4 linked regions of the Bombyx mori genome follow. The protein of the gene in region 4 purifies or fractionates together with the protein of the main gene of each other region. This does not show direct contact. Links are inferred from orthologs where the notes say so. Each region holds a gene or a part of one and is shown on either strand. Other genes may lie near its edges.

Evidence for each region. The genes of interacting proteins can lie anywhere in the genome.
Region 1: the proteins of proteasome activator complex subunit 3 (region 4) and PSME3-interacting protein purify together in Homo sapiens (affinity purification with mass spectrometry; 4 studies listed by BioGRID and IntAct, counting the BioPlex papers as one, with this or other methods). This does not show direct contact. The link is inferred for Bombyx mori from reciprocal best matches to the Homo sapiens genes PSME3 and PSME3IP1.
Region 2: the proteins of proteasome activator complex subunit 3 (region 4) and importin subunit beta-1 purify together in Homo sapiens (affinity purification with mass spectrometry; 3 studies listed by BioGRID and IntAct, with this or other methods). This does not show direct contact. The link is inferred for Bombyx mori from reciprocal best matches to the Homo sapiens genes PSME3 and KPNB1.
Region 3: the proteins of proteasome activator complex subunit 3 (region 4) and proteasome 25 kDa subunit fractionate together in Homo sapiens (co-fractionation; 3 studies listed by BioGRID and IntAct, with this or other methods). This does not show direct contact. The link is inferred for Bombyx mori from reciprocal best matches to the Homo sapiens genes PSME3 and PSMA2.

The regions. Positions count from the first base shown.
Region 1 is NC_085126.1:1,613,680-1,617,366, forward strand, and holds the end of PSME3-interacting protein, read left to right. Parts: intron 1-1; coding exon 2-116; intron 117-638; coding exon 639-730; intron 731-2,310; coding exon 2,311-2,443; intron 2,444-2,970; coding exon 2,971-3,057; 3' UTR 3,058-3,187; downstream 3,188-3,687. UniProt on the Homo sapiens protein: Promotes the association of the proteasome activator complex subunit PSME3 with the 20S proteasome and regulates its activity.
Region 2 is NC_085110.1:11,420,898-11,425,076, reverse strand, and holds the start of importin subunit beta-1, read right to left. Parts: upstream 2,801-4,179; 5' UTR 2,663-2,800; coding exon 2,605-2,662; intron 1,832-2,604; coding exon 1,590-1,831; intron 1,216-1,589; coding exon 1,035-1,215; intron 880-1,034; coding exon 620-879; intron 213-619; coding exon 26-212; intron 1-25.
Region 3 is NC_085130.1:10,804,571-10,808,503, reverse strand, and holds the start of proteasome 25 kDa subunit, read left to right. Parts: upstream 1-1,133; 5' UTR 1,134-1,146; coding exon 1,147-1,187; intron 1,188-1,373; coding exon 1,374-1,450; intron 1,451-1,613; coding exon 1,614-1,712; intron 1,713-3,933. Other genes in the region: uncharacterized protein LOC101740923, read right to left, coding at 562-850.
Region 4 is NC_085114.1:6,478,201-6,482,467, forward strand, and holds the start of proteasome activator complex subunit 3, read right to left. Parts: upstream 2,801-4,267; 5' UTR 2,470-2,800; coding exon 2,449-2,469; intron 2,282-2,448; exon of another isoform or gene 2,254-2,281; coding exon of another isoform or gene 2,245-2,253; intron 2,135-2,244; coding exon 1,997-2,134; intron 146-1,996; coding exon 1-145. UniProt on the Homo sapiens protein: Subunit of the 11S REG-gamma (also called PA28-gamma) proteasome regulator, a doughnut-shaped homoheptamer which associates with the proteasome. 11S REG-gamma activates the trypsin-like catalytic subunit of the proteasome but inhibits the chymotrypsin-like and postglutamyl-preferring (PGPH) subunits.

The sequences.
Region 1 (3,687 bases), on a different chromosome or scaffold from region 4:
GAGAGCGAGTGTCCAATCTAGCTGAGAGTGAAGAAATGACTCGTCTCCGAGCTCAATTGGCTCTGGGTAAAACTCAAACCACAACAACACCGACACAGAAAAACAAACTGCAAGGGGTATGTGTGAAAATGAATAAAACTTTTTTTTTTATTGCTTAGATGGGTGGGCTAGCTCACAGCTCACCTGGTGTTAAGTGGTTACTGCAGCCCATAGACATCTACAACGTAAATGCGCCACCCCCCACCTTGAGATATAAGTTCTAAGGTCTCAGTATAGTTACAACGGCTGCCCCACCCTTCAAACCGAAACGCATTAATGCTTCACGGCAGAAATAGGCAGGGCGGTGGTACCTACCCGTGCGGACTCGCAAGAGGTCCTACCACCAGTAAAAGACTGAAGACTGCTGGTGGGCTTTGTCTCAAGGTAGGTGGCTGAATTTACGTTGTAGATGTCTATGGGCTCCAGTAACCACTTAACATCAGGTGGGCTGTGAGCTCGTCCACCCATCTAAGCAACAAAAAAAAGGAAATGTTTCGGTGATCGTAGCTGATTTCGAGAGCTCATTAAAATAATTTATACAATAGTGTTAAATTTTCATTGCTTCAATTTGTATATCTGTTTGTTAATTTTTCAATCAGTTGATTGTCAGAAAGCGTAAGGCGAGCGAAATAGAAGAGGAAAATCAGAAAGACGCGCCGCCCGCCAAGACCAACGGAGTGGTTTCGAACAAGTAATTAAATTTTCTTTTTTTTTTTTAACTATTGCATAGCTTTTATCGCGGGCCTTGAGCGCGGCGACTGAATCAAGAAATTCCGTAACGAAAATAACCTGACACCCCTCACTCCGCCTACCATGTAGCTCGCGTTCAACACATTCACACGTCGCGCTGGTGTAGTGTTTGTGAATAAGCGCGCGGCGTGACGTCGCACTGCATGAGCATCATGAAAAGTCTGCCCATCTCTCTCTCACGCGGTCTAGCTTATGAGTGTGAAGTGGACAGTTAATGTTTTGCTTTTGTTAATGTTTATAAATATAGCGTGGTCTTATTCTTATTATTGTTTTAATATTAAATTATTATTGTCTAATTGTAATTGCATAAGTTGATAAAAAATGCTTTGCAAATAGCTTTACCGCGGCAGTCCCCGAGTGCCACATGTCTTTTTTATTGATGCACATAACAAATTACAACCATAGAAATTGTAAGTTTAAATATTTAACATAATAATCTGGATGGCAGTTCAAAACAGGTGCATACAGAAAAAAATTAACAACTGAACAGATGCCTAAATACCATGTGTATATTATATACATACACACATACGCTCTCACACACACACACACACGCTCTCACACACACGCACACGCACAGCCATATGTAAGTTACTATCTAATTAAATTATGCACCTGATCTTTAGTGGTTACAGACGTCCACGACCACATCTCAAAGGTCAGAGTCAGCCATACCACTCTTCCGACCAGAGAATCTGGTGGAAATAGTGGTAAGGTTCCGACTAGTGCGGACTGTATGTGCTGATATCAACTTGAAACAGAACCTATAAACCTCAATTCTATAACGACCGCTCCACCCTAAAAACTGGAACAGCTACCTGCTTCAAGGTAGAAATAGGTAGAGTGGTAGCACCTACCCGTGCGGAATCGCAAGTCGTCCTACCACCATTAAAGTAATATAATTGTGGTACACGATAGCAACTAATATCGCCTGATTCTTAATCTGACAAATACAGATCAGGTAAAGTCCTCTGATCTCAATACTTTAAACAAATTTAATTTACAACTACCTGCAATTCGTGCAAATCCACACGTCATTTCGGATCCTCCCGATCCACTAACGGTGCTTTTAGGTACCTCAACTCAAGCACCGGTCATTGTTCTCGTCGAACCCGTCGCTTGCGACGAAGGGCTCGACGAGTAAATTAACCCTCAGACACAGCCCACTCACTGAGTTTCTCGCCGGATCTTCTCAGTGGGTCGCGTTTCCGATCCCGTGGTAGATTCTGCGAAGCACGGCTCTTGCTAGGTTTCGTGTTAGCATCGTCGTCAGGTTTGAGCCCCGTGACCTCACCTGCTAGTTAAGGTTACGTTGAAATAACCTCTTAAGGCTCTCAGCTAGGTAGGAATAAAAAAAAAGCAAATGCAACATTAAAAGGTTGACATGTGTGATTTTTTTTAGAATGTTTTACGGCCCTGGATGCGAGTTCTTATGAGCCCGTAGTAAAGTCACAAATTCACTTTACTGTTTTTATTTTTAAAGTACACCTATTGTAAGACCATGTGTGATTTCTTCCGCAGTGTTGCAACAAGTAAAATTCAAGCGGATTCCGGGATAGTCGTGGGCGCGTTGAGTGTGGCCGGAGTGTTGCCAGGGTTGGGACACTACCGCTCTGATTCATCTACCGATACAACCGATTCTAGTGACGACGAGGTATGTTAATAATTAAAAACAAAAGTCTGCTTAGTTTAAAAATAAGAATAGTAACGAAAAACCCATCTTGTGTGCTCACAAGAGGTATATACCGCTATGCTATCTAGTTCTGATACATTGTAGCGGCCGTCTGGTGTAGTGGTAAGTGACATGGTCTCTACAACGTAAATGCGCCACCAACCTTGAGTTCTAAGGTCTCAGTATAGGTACAACGGCGAAATAGGCAGAGTGATGACCTACCTGTACCTACCCGTGCGGCCTCGCAAGACGTCCTAACACCAGTAGGACTGTTGGAAACCCAACAAATTGGTATAAAACCTTTTTTATTGTTGTGGTTATGGTTTTGACATTACATTTGAATTTTGGAATGTCTTAGATTTGTCATTCTCTTTTTATACGTGCAATCCTCGCGAGTTTATTTATTAAGTTCCTTGCCCATCCTAATCCCACAGTCCACTACAGGACTCCTTATATACAGCATGCTGTTTATTGGATTGTTAAAATATATACAGTATGTTTTTTTTTAGAGCGATAAATGTTGCAAGAGGGACTTGCTGGGACGGCGGCCGGAGCACGCGGAGAGCAAGTCGCGCAAAGACGAATCCAAAAGTTAGGGTTGTCTATGAAATACGACGATTTATTTAAAAAAAACAATGATTCCGCAAACGTATCCTGTTTACGCGTACTTTCGAACGATGTGATTTTAGTATGTAAGTTATTGAAATAAATGAAAGGTTTTATTGATTTTCTTTGTTTTATTTCTGGAAGTGATAACTTCTTAAGAGAAGATAAGCCGCTTCGTTACGTAACGCGTGACGGCGTTAGTCTTGCTTCCCTTACGTAATTTTTTTTTTTTTATTGTTTAGGTATGTGGACGAGCTCACAGCCCACCTGGTGTTAAGTGGTTACTGGAGCCCATAGACATCTATAACGTAAATGCGCCACACACCTTGAGATATAGTTCTAAGGGTCTCAGTATTGTCACAACGGCTACCCCACCCTTCAAACCGAAACGCATTACTGCTTCACGGCAGAAATAGGCGGGGTGGTGGTACCTACCCGCGCGGACTCACAAGAGGTCCTACCACCAGTCATTACGCAAATTATAATTTTGCGGGTTTGATTTTTATTACACGATGTTATTCCTTCACTGTGGAAGTCAATCGTGAACATTTGTTAAGTACGTATTTCATTAGAAAAATTGGTACCCGCCTGCGGGATTCGAACACCGTCGCATCGCTCGA
Region 2 (4,179 bases), on a different chromosome or scaffold from region 4:
GAGAATAGAAGTATCACTTTCATACCTGCTTCAACTGCTTCAGCTTCTTCAATTGCGAGATCTATTTCCTCATCGCTCACATTGGACCAGAATTCAATACCTTGTAATGAAATCTCATCAATATCAGATTTCATAGCCTCAAGTGTTATGGGGAATAGAGCTTGTCCCATGTAAGGTTCCATATGTTGATAATAAAGTGATAAAATTTTCACCTGAAGATAATTTTGTTTGATTAAAAACTATTTTTTAAATTAATTAATACAGTAATTGTTTAAATTTAATCATGTCAATAGCTGGTATCCCAAAAAATAAGTCTTAGCTTTGTTATTCATGTTAATATTATAAATTTATAACTGAGTAAATGTAATATTAATATAAATTGTAATTCATACACTTTCATATCTAACTAATCAATCATTAATTATGAAATTTTACATAAATGCTGTCAAGAGTACAGAAAAGGACATAAAAGGATACTATCCACAAAAAAGTAATATTCCTGAGGTATATAATTTTTTCTACTTTCATGGGAAGAAAGCTAATGTGGTAGCTAAGGTGGTATTTTATTTTAATTTTAAATATAATACTTGGATTCACATTATATATTTATAAAACTTACTAAGCATTGCAAAGCAGCAACGCTGATTCTCATGTCACTAGACTGTGTGGCTTCACAGACAACCTCCATAATAAAGTTTCTTTCATTTTCTTTTTCAAAGTTCGCTCTGGTGAATTCTAGAGAGTTGAGCAAAGCTTGAGTAGCAGCTAGTCGAACATGATTACTGGGTTCAGTTGACCTCATGCCATGTATGATGGCCGTAAGAATTTGATTACTTCTTTCTGTTAATACTTCAGCATCAATATCCTGACAAATGTAGCCTAGAAGAATAAGAAATACATCAGTATTGTTAAAGAGATTAATAGCAATTTGCCTTTAGTTATAAAGCACAATTAAAACTGTAATTTTTTTTTTGTTTATTTATATAACATAATTTGTCATAGCTCTTTTAACTATCAAATGTTCATTCAGTTACCAATAGCCTCCAAAGTCGCTTCCTTTTTGAGTTCAGTAGATTGGACATGAACAACATTTTCTACAAGAATTGGTATTAGATCATTCCATTGTCCTACTGGGAGCTCAGCTACTGCCACATACGCCACACACTGTGCTGCTGAACTTGGACGACTATTCTCTGTTCCTATAGCAGCTAATATCTAAAAAAGAAACTAGTATTAAAATTAAATATAACTTGGTTACCTACACCTGATGGAACTTATCAGATTCTCCACCTTCATTAGTTCAAGCTCTATACTATAACTATACCTGAGACCTTAGAACTTGTATCTCAAGATGGGTGGCGTAATTACGTTTTAGATGTCTTGTGTGTTTGTATTTATTAGTGTTGTGTTAAATTATATTTATTACTAATTTTAATTTTAATCTAAGTAAGACATACAGGGAATTGCTATTTAGACAATAATTGAGCAATTTAGCTTAGAGATAATATTATATATATTTTTATTATTAAGTAACTTATTAGTGAATTTTTCAATGTTTCACTTGTTTCTTGTTTGCAATATTGCCTTACATTTTCTTTTATATAAAGTCGAACATCTTCTGCCAAAGCCAGCCATCTTTGTTGATATTGTTGTTTAAGTGTAGGATCTTTAGAAGTGAGATGATTTTTCAATTGCAAACCAGCTGCCATCCTAGCCACTTGACTGTTACCACCTTGGAGAAGGACATCGGACAACATTTTGATGAATGTTGTGAAATTTGTGGTGGCAGCATGGTCGAGGTATCTAACTGCTGCTTCCAATTCATTTCGATCTGTAAGCAATAACCATAATCTAAGTACATAATTTACAAAGTGAAGTACCCCAAATTTAACTATGTCTGTATACTGATATGTCACATGAAAACAAAAGGTGTTAGAGAATCAAATTTGTGAGGTCTTTTTTGTATTTTATTACCACTGAAACCAGGCGAGAATATGGGCCACCTAATGGTGAGTAGTCACGATCACTAATCCAAGTCATCCATGCCAAGGGAACATCAAAACCAATTGATTATTTAGTACCACTACTTCTTTTATTATAATTTCTTAATAAATATTTTTATACTTTGAAATAATGTTGTTTAAATATATTTTATACGGCCCCTGTTGCACATTGTTTCTTTCTTATTAGGGTATGTATGTACAAAATCGTTACCTATTCATTTAATACTACAGAATATCCACTATTTTCTAACCTTAAACTTATTTTTTTGTTTTTTATATGTACAATGAATTAAAATAGCTATTGAATTCAAAAGTTATAGCACACTTTTTCATTGAATGTTAATAACACAGACATCGTGAGGTTCGAAAGCTGAACTAGAAGTTTCCTGGATGACAGGTAAGCATTGCGGTTGGTGATACTAGATAAAATTACAGTCTCGTTTTAATTCAAATGCTTTTTGCTGAGAAATGCCATTTTTTTATCCATTCTACAGTTTTTCCGGATAAATTTCAGAATCATGGCATAGTTTATAGGTAGCAAAAGTACGTTATTTTCTATAACGCCATCCATGTTCATGTTGATGTTAGTCATATTACTTACCAGGTGAAACTGTCTTCTCAAGTATTTGTATAAGCGTTAATGTTGTTTCTGCGTGCATTGTTTCACTATTCTTAAGTTTATGTTGCAAAAGACTGACTCAATCCTGTTTTTTGAAAAATAGAAACCGGCGGACGACGGAAGAACACTCATGAAATATTGGCTATTGAGTATTGTTGCCAGCAGAGGGTATTTTTAATCTATACTCTATTTCAATTGTGATAGTGTAGGACACTGGCCCACGAAATCTGGTAAAGATGTCGCTAGCAGCTGATTTTTCAAGAAAAAAGTGTTTGGTATTTAATCAAGTGTAATTTCTCTCGATTTCCCCCAAAAGGCACATATAAACCACAATAAGTTTTTCAATTTCAAGTATTTGGTTATATATCATGACAATGATAAGCTTTCCAAGAAGTCCTAATGGATTTACCATAATTAATCTCAAATAGCAAATAGTTATTTATGCGAGCATTCAACTTTTGTCCAGTTCCTCATGTCACACATCTGCAGTAATGCTGTTGCCATTTGATCAGAAGGTGTGATACCGGCACTAGACCATCAAATATTGACCATGACTTTTATGGATGTGTTTTTGTTTAGGGCATTGCTTAATTGCTTAACCAGGGTATAATCAACATGATGACCGCTTACAATTATTAAAAATAATAATTTTTTCTTGGCAAGTAATAATGCGGTTTAAAATCCCTTACTTTCTGAGTCTGTCGAGCAACTGTATACGCAACTTATATTTTAATGCGTTCGTCGCGTTGGCGATCGTTCAATTGGTACAGCAACTACATAACAAGTTTTGTTACTTTCCCAATTTGACGCAAATAAACCTATATTGTATTGATGCTAGCATTAAAAGCTGTTGCTAATTCAACGATAGCTTGAGTGTCGTTATTTTCCACGATCGCTTCTGATTCGTCGTTGATGATTGTATAGATTTAGGCGTTCGTATTTTATATCAAATTTCCGGAAAGGCTTACTCAAAGTGTTCACTCCATACATATATAATTAATGTTGTGGGTTGTTTGTGCGGCATTGTTGCCGCGATGGAACTCTTATTCCATTATTACATATATTTTTACTATACCTATATTAACATGAATGTGATGAAAACAAAGCACTAATCAAATGACCGAATTTGAAAATAGAATTCCATATTTTATAAATAAGATTAGGTAATTTGAATTTATGATTTATTGCTAGAATTTAAATTTTTTTCTAGGCATGCATGATGTGTCATAATAATATGGCCTTGTAAAACGGCAACTTCGTAAAGATATACATAAATAAGACATTTCAAAATACAAGAATATAGGTCTAAGGATAAAGATCTATTTAGCTTTGAATTCGCTTCTATTTACCAGTCAAATTTAATAGTCAATTCAAAAAGTGAAAAAAAATTTACTTTGGACAAGTTGTTTGCGTTCTTGAACTCATACACAAAACCTCGTGCCGGAAATTGAATTTGATTCACAAAATCGTTCGGCAGTTCCAAATTGGTTTTATGGGAGTTGTGAATGTGAATCTGTATTGAGTCAACACGGTAGCGAGTATTCAGTGTGGTGCGAG
Region 3 (3,933 bases), on a different chromosome or scaffold from region 4:
AGAAGCAGAGGATCAAGCTCAGTGGCGTACAATTGGAGAGGTCCAGCAATGTACTATAGGCTTACGATGATGAATCGGGTATAAAAGTTGGAACAGCACGCAGATCAGAAGAAGAGTTAAAAAGAACAGGATAATTGTTCAATTCCCTTCCTAATAATGGTAATGAGGATATGGGCATAGGTTAAATACGGTATTTAAGTTATTAACAGAAAAATAATGTATAAGACCTTAGACCTTATCTTTGTCTTTATATCCGGTTGGACACCAATGATAGGGTAGCTTAGGTACTAAAGAAATATAGTTTCAAAACTGTACGTGAACTTGATCGATATTTTAGATCAACGATAAAACTGTGGTACTGACGTCGCTTCTAGACGTGTGTGTGAATTTTCAAATTATTTGGACGTCTTTAAGTCTGTTAAAATTACGTTAAAATATTCCATTCCATATATGCAGGACGAACTAATGATAGGGCGTTAGAAAAGAACTTACTTATTAAGACCTATTACGTCCTAATATCTACAGTTTGATTATTTTTTTGTTGAAAACAAGAATAGTTACCTTGTCCCAATCTCAAGACGGCTAGTATCGTGAATGTCAGAATTAAGTTCCCGATAGCCAATACGAATAAAAGACAAACGAGAGTCCAAAATGCGAAGGTTTTCCTCCCTCTGTGTACGGTTTCCGTGACATCGTTCCCGTTCCTGTCCGAATAATTTTTAATATTACTTTTGAGTAACGTATGCGTTGGAGTTTTTGTTATCAGAGCCTTTTCAGCTCGGTTTCTCTCTAACGTGCTCTCGGACATGGTCTCTGAGGACGAAGATACTCCGCGGAGGCCAACCGACATAACGCACTAATGTTTACGCACGTATTTCAATGGGAAACCATTAAATTAAAAATAGATTTTTTTAGAAGGATGCGACAACAAAATATTGAGCGAGAAGCATCGCCTTTTATTGGTTAAGCCTATTTCAGACTAAATCCAATTGACCAATAAGGAGTGAGTCAATTTGATGTTGCCATATAAAAAATTTAAGAAGATGTGATCAAACTAATTGAGAAATATTTCTGAACGATTGGAAAACAGTGATGACAACATGACGCAGTGAATTATTGACAAATTTGACAATCTGCACTGTAATCATGGCGTCGGAGAGATACAGTTTTTCTCTCACAACATTTAGGTAAAAAAACTATATATTTACATGTTTTAAAAGTCTAATTAGCAATGGAACATAAAGTTCTGTGATAATTTTCAATGATGACTTAAGTTGCTTAATGTCTTAGCGTCTAATCTACTCTGTTTGATTCACACTAAAGTTGCGGTATGATTTTTGGTTAATGTTATCTCAATTGTTGTGTTTTTGCAGCCCCTCGGGCAAATTAGTGCAAATCGAATATGCTTTAGCTGCCGTAGCCGCCGGTGGTACTTCCGTCGGCATCAAAGGTTAGTAAATAAAAATTAAAGGTTATTATAATTCTAAACTAGAACTATAACTTCCTTTGTACTAATTACTGTGTATCATCACATAAAAAAACCGCAAATGTATATTTTTTCCCAGGATGACTCAGTATTTTTAAGAGTAAAAAGGATGTTTTCATATTTGCAGCGTCAAATGGCGTCGTGATTGCCACAGAGAACAAACACAAGAGCATACTGTATGATGAACACAGTGTCAACAAAGTCGAGATGATAACTGGCCACATTGGTGAGTTGAGTCTCCTTTTTGTCCCTACTTATTTGCTGATAGCCTAGGAGGCCATTCCAGTTACGCCTAAACAGGTAGGTGAGCTAACGGGCTTAACGTAAGCGAATTTTCTAGCAGCGAAGCAGTAATGCGTTTCGGTTTGAAGGGTGGGGCAGCCCTTGTAACTATACTGGGCTCAGGTAACTACTTAACACCAGGTGGGCTCTGAGCTCATCCACCCATCTAAGATATAAAAAAAAAAACATCAGAAACATGTTAGTTAGTTTTAAATTTTAACATTAGTTACTTAATACTCCTATTCGTATAAGAGAACAAGTATTGTCTGCTTTTCTTACTCATCCTACATTGTGTGAACTTGACGCACATATCTTTTTTACCATTCAGGCTTATTATAAATTGTCATCTCGGCATTGATACCCATCTCATATCATCATTTACACAGTGCAGTACTATTTTCAGACTTCCACTTATATGGGATAAATTCTTCTTTCATCAACTGCTTTCCTATAAATGAACAATTATATTGGTTATAAAGAATTTATCTTGTATATATATGTCAAAGGAAGCAATGAATAGAGTTGATTCTTGTTTACATACAAAATGCATATATTATTATTTTTAGGTTGTAATTACTTTTATAATTCTTAATTTTATTTTATTTTGTTTGTTACATTTTCCTATAGCTTTAAAACCTTCTATAAAAATAAATTGTAATAAAAGGTGCCAAAATTGTAAATTCATGTAGGTAACAACCAATCAGAGCAGAGCATTTATCTTCCGCATGGTCAAGGTGCCATCTTTACTTTGGGAAGGCGTATATTGTCTGGTGACACATTTTGAGCAATAAAAACGTATCGAGTTGGATCGTTGGAGAGTTCAAGTGAGATTGGTGCAATTGCTGCTCGGTCTAAACTGTAATATTCTCCCACAATATTACCGTGGAATAACAAAATATTGTATAATCTAAATGAAACTAGTGATAAAACCAATCATAGTTATCATTTGTGTTTTATATCTGTCACTATCTGTCTCGGTCGCTCATGCAAACATGTCCGCTATCCATCTCTCTCATCATTTTGTCGTAAAATTAAGAACCTACCAAGAGCTTGTGTGAATAAAAAACATTTGAACTGAGTAAAATGGGTTAGTATCAGGTCACTCGGGGTTCTTATTTTTTTTAGTATGAAACTAACAAGTTTTGTACCATTTTACAATCCTGATTTAATGCGCGAACTTTTAATGGCACTTGCCAAGGCACTTTAGTACTTTTTTTTAAAGGAGGGCCTTTCAAAGTCGACAAATTTTGAAAATTTTAGATTCATAGTTTGACAAATAATCTTAATTCTAGAAAACTTGGGGTCAGTTGTGCTTTTATTTTTGACTGTGGTTCTAGAAATGTTATTTAGGGTTACGGTTCCAAAGTTTAAATGAACAAAAATAATAAAAATTAACCACAATAACCGAAAAATGGTTACAGTTTGACCAAATTTCTAGGTTTTCCTTAAATGGTCATAATTTCCAAACTGCATTGGATAGATTTTTTTTCTGATTTTTCTCATGATTGTTCCTGTCACCAGGTTTCGGCTTGACGTTGAGTTCTGGGACACCATGTTTATGGTTGTCAATACATATCCTAACCTTCTCGTCGAACCCGTCACTGAGTGACCTGACTTTCTCGCCGGATCTTCTCAGCGGGTCGTGTTTCAGACCCGGTGGTAGATTCTGCGAAGCGCTCCTTTTGTTAGGGTTAGTATTAGCAACGTCGTCAAGGTTTGAGCTTCGTGAGCTCACCTACTGGTTCGGTGAATCTAGAATAACTCCTCAAGGTTACTAGAGTATAGGAATGAAAAAAAAATCCTACTTAAGTTAGGATTTTTTTTTAAGCGGTAGGCAGCGGCTTGGCTCTGCCCCTGACATTGCTGAAGTCCATGGGCGACGGTAACCACTCACCATCAGGTGGGCAGTATGCCCGTCTACCTACAAAGGCAATAAAAAAAAAAAAACAATTTGTGACATGTCCGCTTGGTCAATATGAGGGAAAATGTCTATGGTATATATAAATATGAGCATAGCTTTAGCTTACTAGATACAAATTCGGGATACATTATTGGCTTGAATTAAGGAAACAGGTAACTAATTGACGTTGGTACAAGTAATCCTCTCCAGAAAAACCCTAACACACTAGCACTCAACAGTATAAAAAAATCATTAATATACCTTT
Region 4 (4,267 bases):
GTACTGAACCATTCGGCAGTACATAAACCCGTGTTCCTTCTATGGTTGAGTTGCTGGATAACTCCGATGAGTCCAGTCTTTGACGTTTAGCATTTGGCTCATTGTTTGACGTCGCAGGTGGTGTTGGTATTGGAATGTTTAAATCCTGAAATTAAATCATTATCAAACATCCAAAATGTAAAAATACTTGATTTCATCAGAATATTGTAAGTTATTCTATTTAAGAATAAAGGTAAAAGTACTTTATTATTGCCATTGTGGCAGATGAGCATATGGCTAACCTGATGTTAAGTAGTCACTGTAGCTCAAGGATATCAACAATGCTAGATAATGAGGCAAAGGCTGCCAACTATTCAGGACTCTCAAGTGATGCAATAATGCTAGATTTGAAATCAGTAATGGTTATTATTTATTTTTTTGTTTAACTTTCAAGGGCTTGGTGCCCACCTAGTGTTAAGTGGTTGCCCACCTTCAATCACTAGTTCTAAGGTCTCAATTTCAACAGTACAATGGCTGCTCCACCCTTCAAACTGAAACGCATTACTGCTTCACAACAGAAATAGGCAGGGTGGTGGTGCACACTCACAAGACATCCTAGCATAATCTTTGGCCTATATGTTATCAAGATTTAATGATCAAGCATGTTGCTGTGAGAATAGTTAAATTATTTAACTGTTAAGTTGATTTCTAAATCAGTAGACAAATATTTGTTATACATAATTATTACTATATACACACAGAATTAATCAACTACCTTTTAATGGCATTTCAACATTACTACTGTAATGTATAAGTTTAAATATGTTCACTCCACAATGGGCACAGTACATTTGGGTGTACATGACAGAAATGTTTCTTGAATGTTGTAAAGGGAAAAACTGCTACGGGTTAATAAATTTGATTTTCTAATGAGTGACTAGAGAGAGACTTTGATGATGAATCTAGTGACAGTTTTTAAGAAGAAAAAAACAGGGCATTGATACACAGTCACTTTATAACTCTTTGACCTTATGAAAAGCATCCAGTTCATAAAACAGTTTGAATTTGTTGTTTCATTTATTTATTTCAGTGACAAAAAAAAATATCTTCACCCTCTTTATCATAATCGATGTTAACTGAATTTTGACTAGCCATTTCCAACTGAACACGGAAATTCTCAATTAAAAGAGTAAAAGCGTATACATTGGCCAAAATGCAATGTGCAAAATGCTTTTTCCAAATAAAAATCTGAAGCATAACATTTGCCTTGTTTTTCAAGTATTTGAATTAAAACAGAAGTTGGCATAAGGCATAAATAAGACAGAAAGATAAGACCTGTTTAGTAAAAACATGTTTATAATTCCATTTTAAGCCATTTATAATTCTGAATGTTAAACCCAAAAAGAGAATAAGCTGTTATCCAGCCTTATACCCTTATATACTTATGATGATGAGTGATTATTGCCACTCATAGACATCAGTAATCCCAGGGGTAGAGCCACACCACTGCCTACTGTTAACAATTACAAGATACTAGCTACACATATGTATATTGATGTTGTGAGAAATCTCAGAAGAGATAAAAAGGCTAGCATTAATAGTTTTATAAAATGTATTTTAAACAATTCATTCATATCACATAAGTTTAAAAAGTTGTTTTTTTATATATTAATTAGGTTATATGGATTTACATATTATGACCAATAGTCAAAAAAATTGAGAATATAAAAGGGAAATTTAAGATTTTATGTAACATTTTATGTATATATGTTTAAGTGGAGAGCGTTTATGAGTTTAAAAGACAGTTTATAACAATGTAACTTTTTTGTTTAAAGTTGAATACATATTTTGTTCCTTTAAAAAGATTTTAGAAATAAGGCGACTCTAGGAAAAATAATAGGAAAATCAATTTGACTTTTGAGCCTTAGGAAACTTCTAGAAATACACTATGCGAAATAGAAAGTACTAAATACGAAACTTCTGTACGAAATAGTAATAAGATTGTCGCGATATTCACCTGATGTACGTCCGATAAATTCCGATTTTGAAAGTTTGATGTCTCTAGTAATTCATTTAATTTCACTATCTTTTCTGGGAAACCTTTAATTATCAAATGCTCCGCCTTTAGTTTCAAAGAATCTTTGTAGTCTTGGACCTGAAATACACACGAGCCAATTATGTCGCCACCTGATAATCAAATTCATTGGACGATACAGCAGAACACCATGGCGTGTTGAGGTTATGTTGATTTTGCTCGAAACTTACAGCTCCCATTATGACGACTTGTAACAGATTATTCCCTCTGTAAAATTCAGTGATCAGAAGTGTTATATTCAGAATGTAAAGTGAATGATTTTTCAATTAACAAACGGTAAATTAAAATTATGGTCGCACGCACTGATCAACAGACTACAGACGATACTCGTGTCAAACAAAGCGATATTGTTAAAGCTATTTTATTTAATTTACCTTTTTTGCAACGTCTGTCATTATGAGATGAATTACTTTATAGGGATTTAATAAAGATTAATCCCTTTTTTACTGTTTTTAAACAAAAACCGCACTTTTGCAAAGTTATCAATTACTCGTGTATTATGAATGTATGAATTTTGGTTTTTGTAAGTCTTAAGGTGCGTTCATATTCAAAGACTGACAGTTCAAAACATATTTTACACTAATGTATTTTACGTTTACTTTCTAGATCCTGCATGTGTTTAGTGTTTTTAATTTCTATTTTCCATTTCCTATTTTTTCCTTTCTGCATTCATTTTTATTTTATAAGTCGATAGCATTAGTTTTTTTAATTTCATAGGTACCTACCTACTTAATTGAAAAAGTCCTGATTTATAGAGGTAGTAACGTAAATCAATTATTAAAATTGTGAGAAATATATTATTTGTTTCTAGCTTTCTCAGCTTTATTAATTAACTCTGTGTAGTATATGTATAAATTTAACTGGGAATTACGACAGGAACGAATTTGCGTTTTAAATCCCGCAAATAAGTATCGAATTTTCTAATGAAATACGTACATACCCAATAACTGGCCGTTTTCCAATTACAGCACAAGAGCGCATTATGCGGCATAATGCTCCTAAGCTTCAGCATAATTCGGCATTGTGCGTCACTGAGTCGCATTATGCTCTGTAATTAACCATTACTTAATGGTAGTTTTCCAATTTCAATTTCCAGTAATTGGAAAATGGCCACTAATTACATTTAATTCAGTTCATAAAATATATTTGTTATTAAAAATTTTTTTCACTAAACATACATTTAAAGAGTGATTCTTTTTCTACCTATAGTTATAGCCTATTTCAGCTTCTCCTTGACGTGTAGGTGAGCTCACGGGGCTCAAACCGGGAGTGCTGCTAACATTGGCCTTGGCAAGAGCAGTGCTTCGCAGAATCTACCACCGGATCGGAAAAGGGGCGGGTTCGACGAGAACGGTGACCGGTGCTTGAGGTCTCTAAAATCACTGTTAGTAGATCGGGAGGATCCGAATTGACGTGCTTAGGGCGACGTCGACTGTTTATCATTCGGCCGGCAGAATCGGGTCTTGTGCGACAAAAGTAACTTATTTATAATAGAACAGTAGCAGTAGTTTGTTTATTAATTTTCGTGAATACCGCCATAAACAATTGTTGACATGCGTTGGAGCTAACTAACAATTTTAACATTGAGGAAACAGTTAACTCTAACCAATCTTAGTTAATTAAGTAGTAGCAGGGTTCCACCAATATATTATACGATGTAATACTTGTTCCTAAAAGTATTAACACATGCTCCAATTTGGTCTGGTAGACCAAATTAGCCGCAAATGGAGCAAACCAAATCAGAAGTGTTAACCAGCAGACTGAGGCAGACTTAACTAATAATTACTATGTTCGCAGGACCACGCCACAGACGATCAGATTTGGTTTAGTAGCAAAACAAATTGGTGGTAAGTTCGAACCAAATTGGAGCGTGTGTAAATGCTTTATATTAACGGTATTGTTTATGCCATACTGTTTTAGGTTACATATAGATAATAAATACACTTAATTGGTTACATAAGTGGTTTTTAAAAATGTACAAAATCCTTCATTAGAAATACAACATATGGATAATATGTTACTGCCATCTACAGGAGTAACTAGAAACTAAACGAAGAGAAGCCATCTAGTGGCCGACGCCCATAAACATTTTTGTTGAGTGCTTGAATTGCTTAACTAAATAATACGGGTTAAAGTATGAAATTGCCGATTTATTGTAATAGGTACGGTACGAATTGACTTAGAAGTTTCATA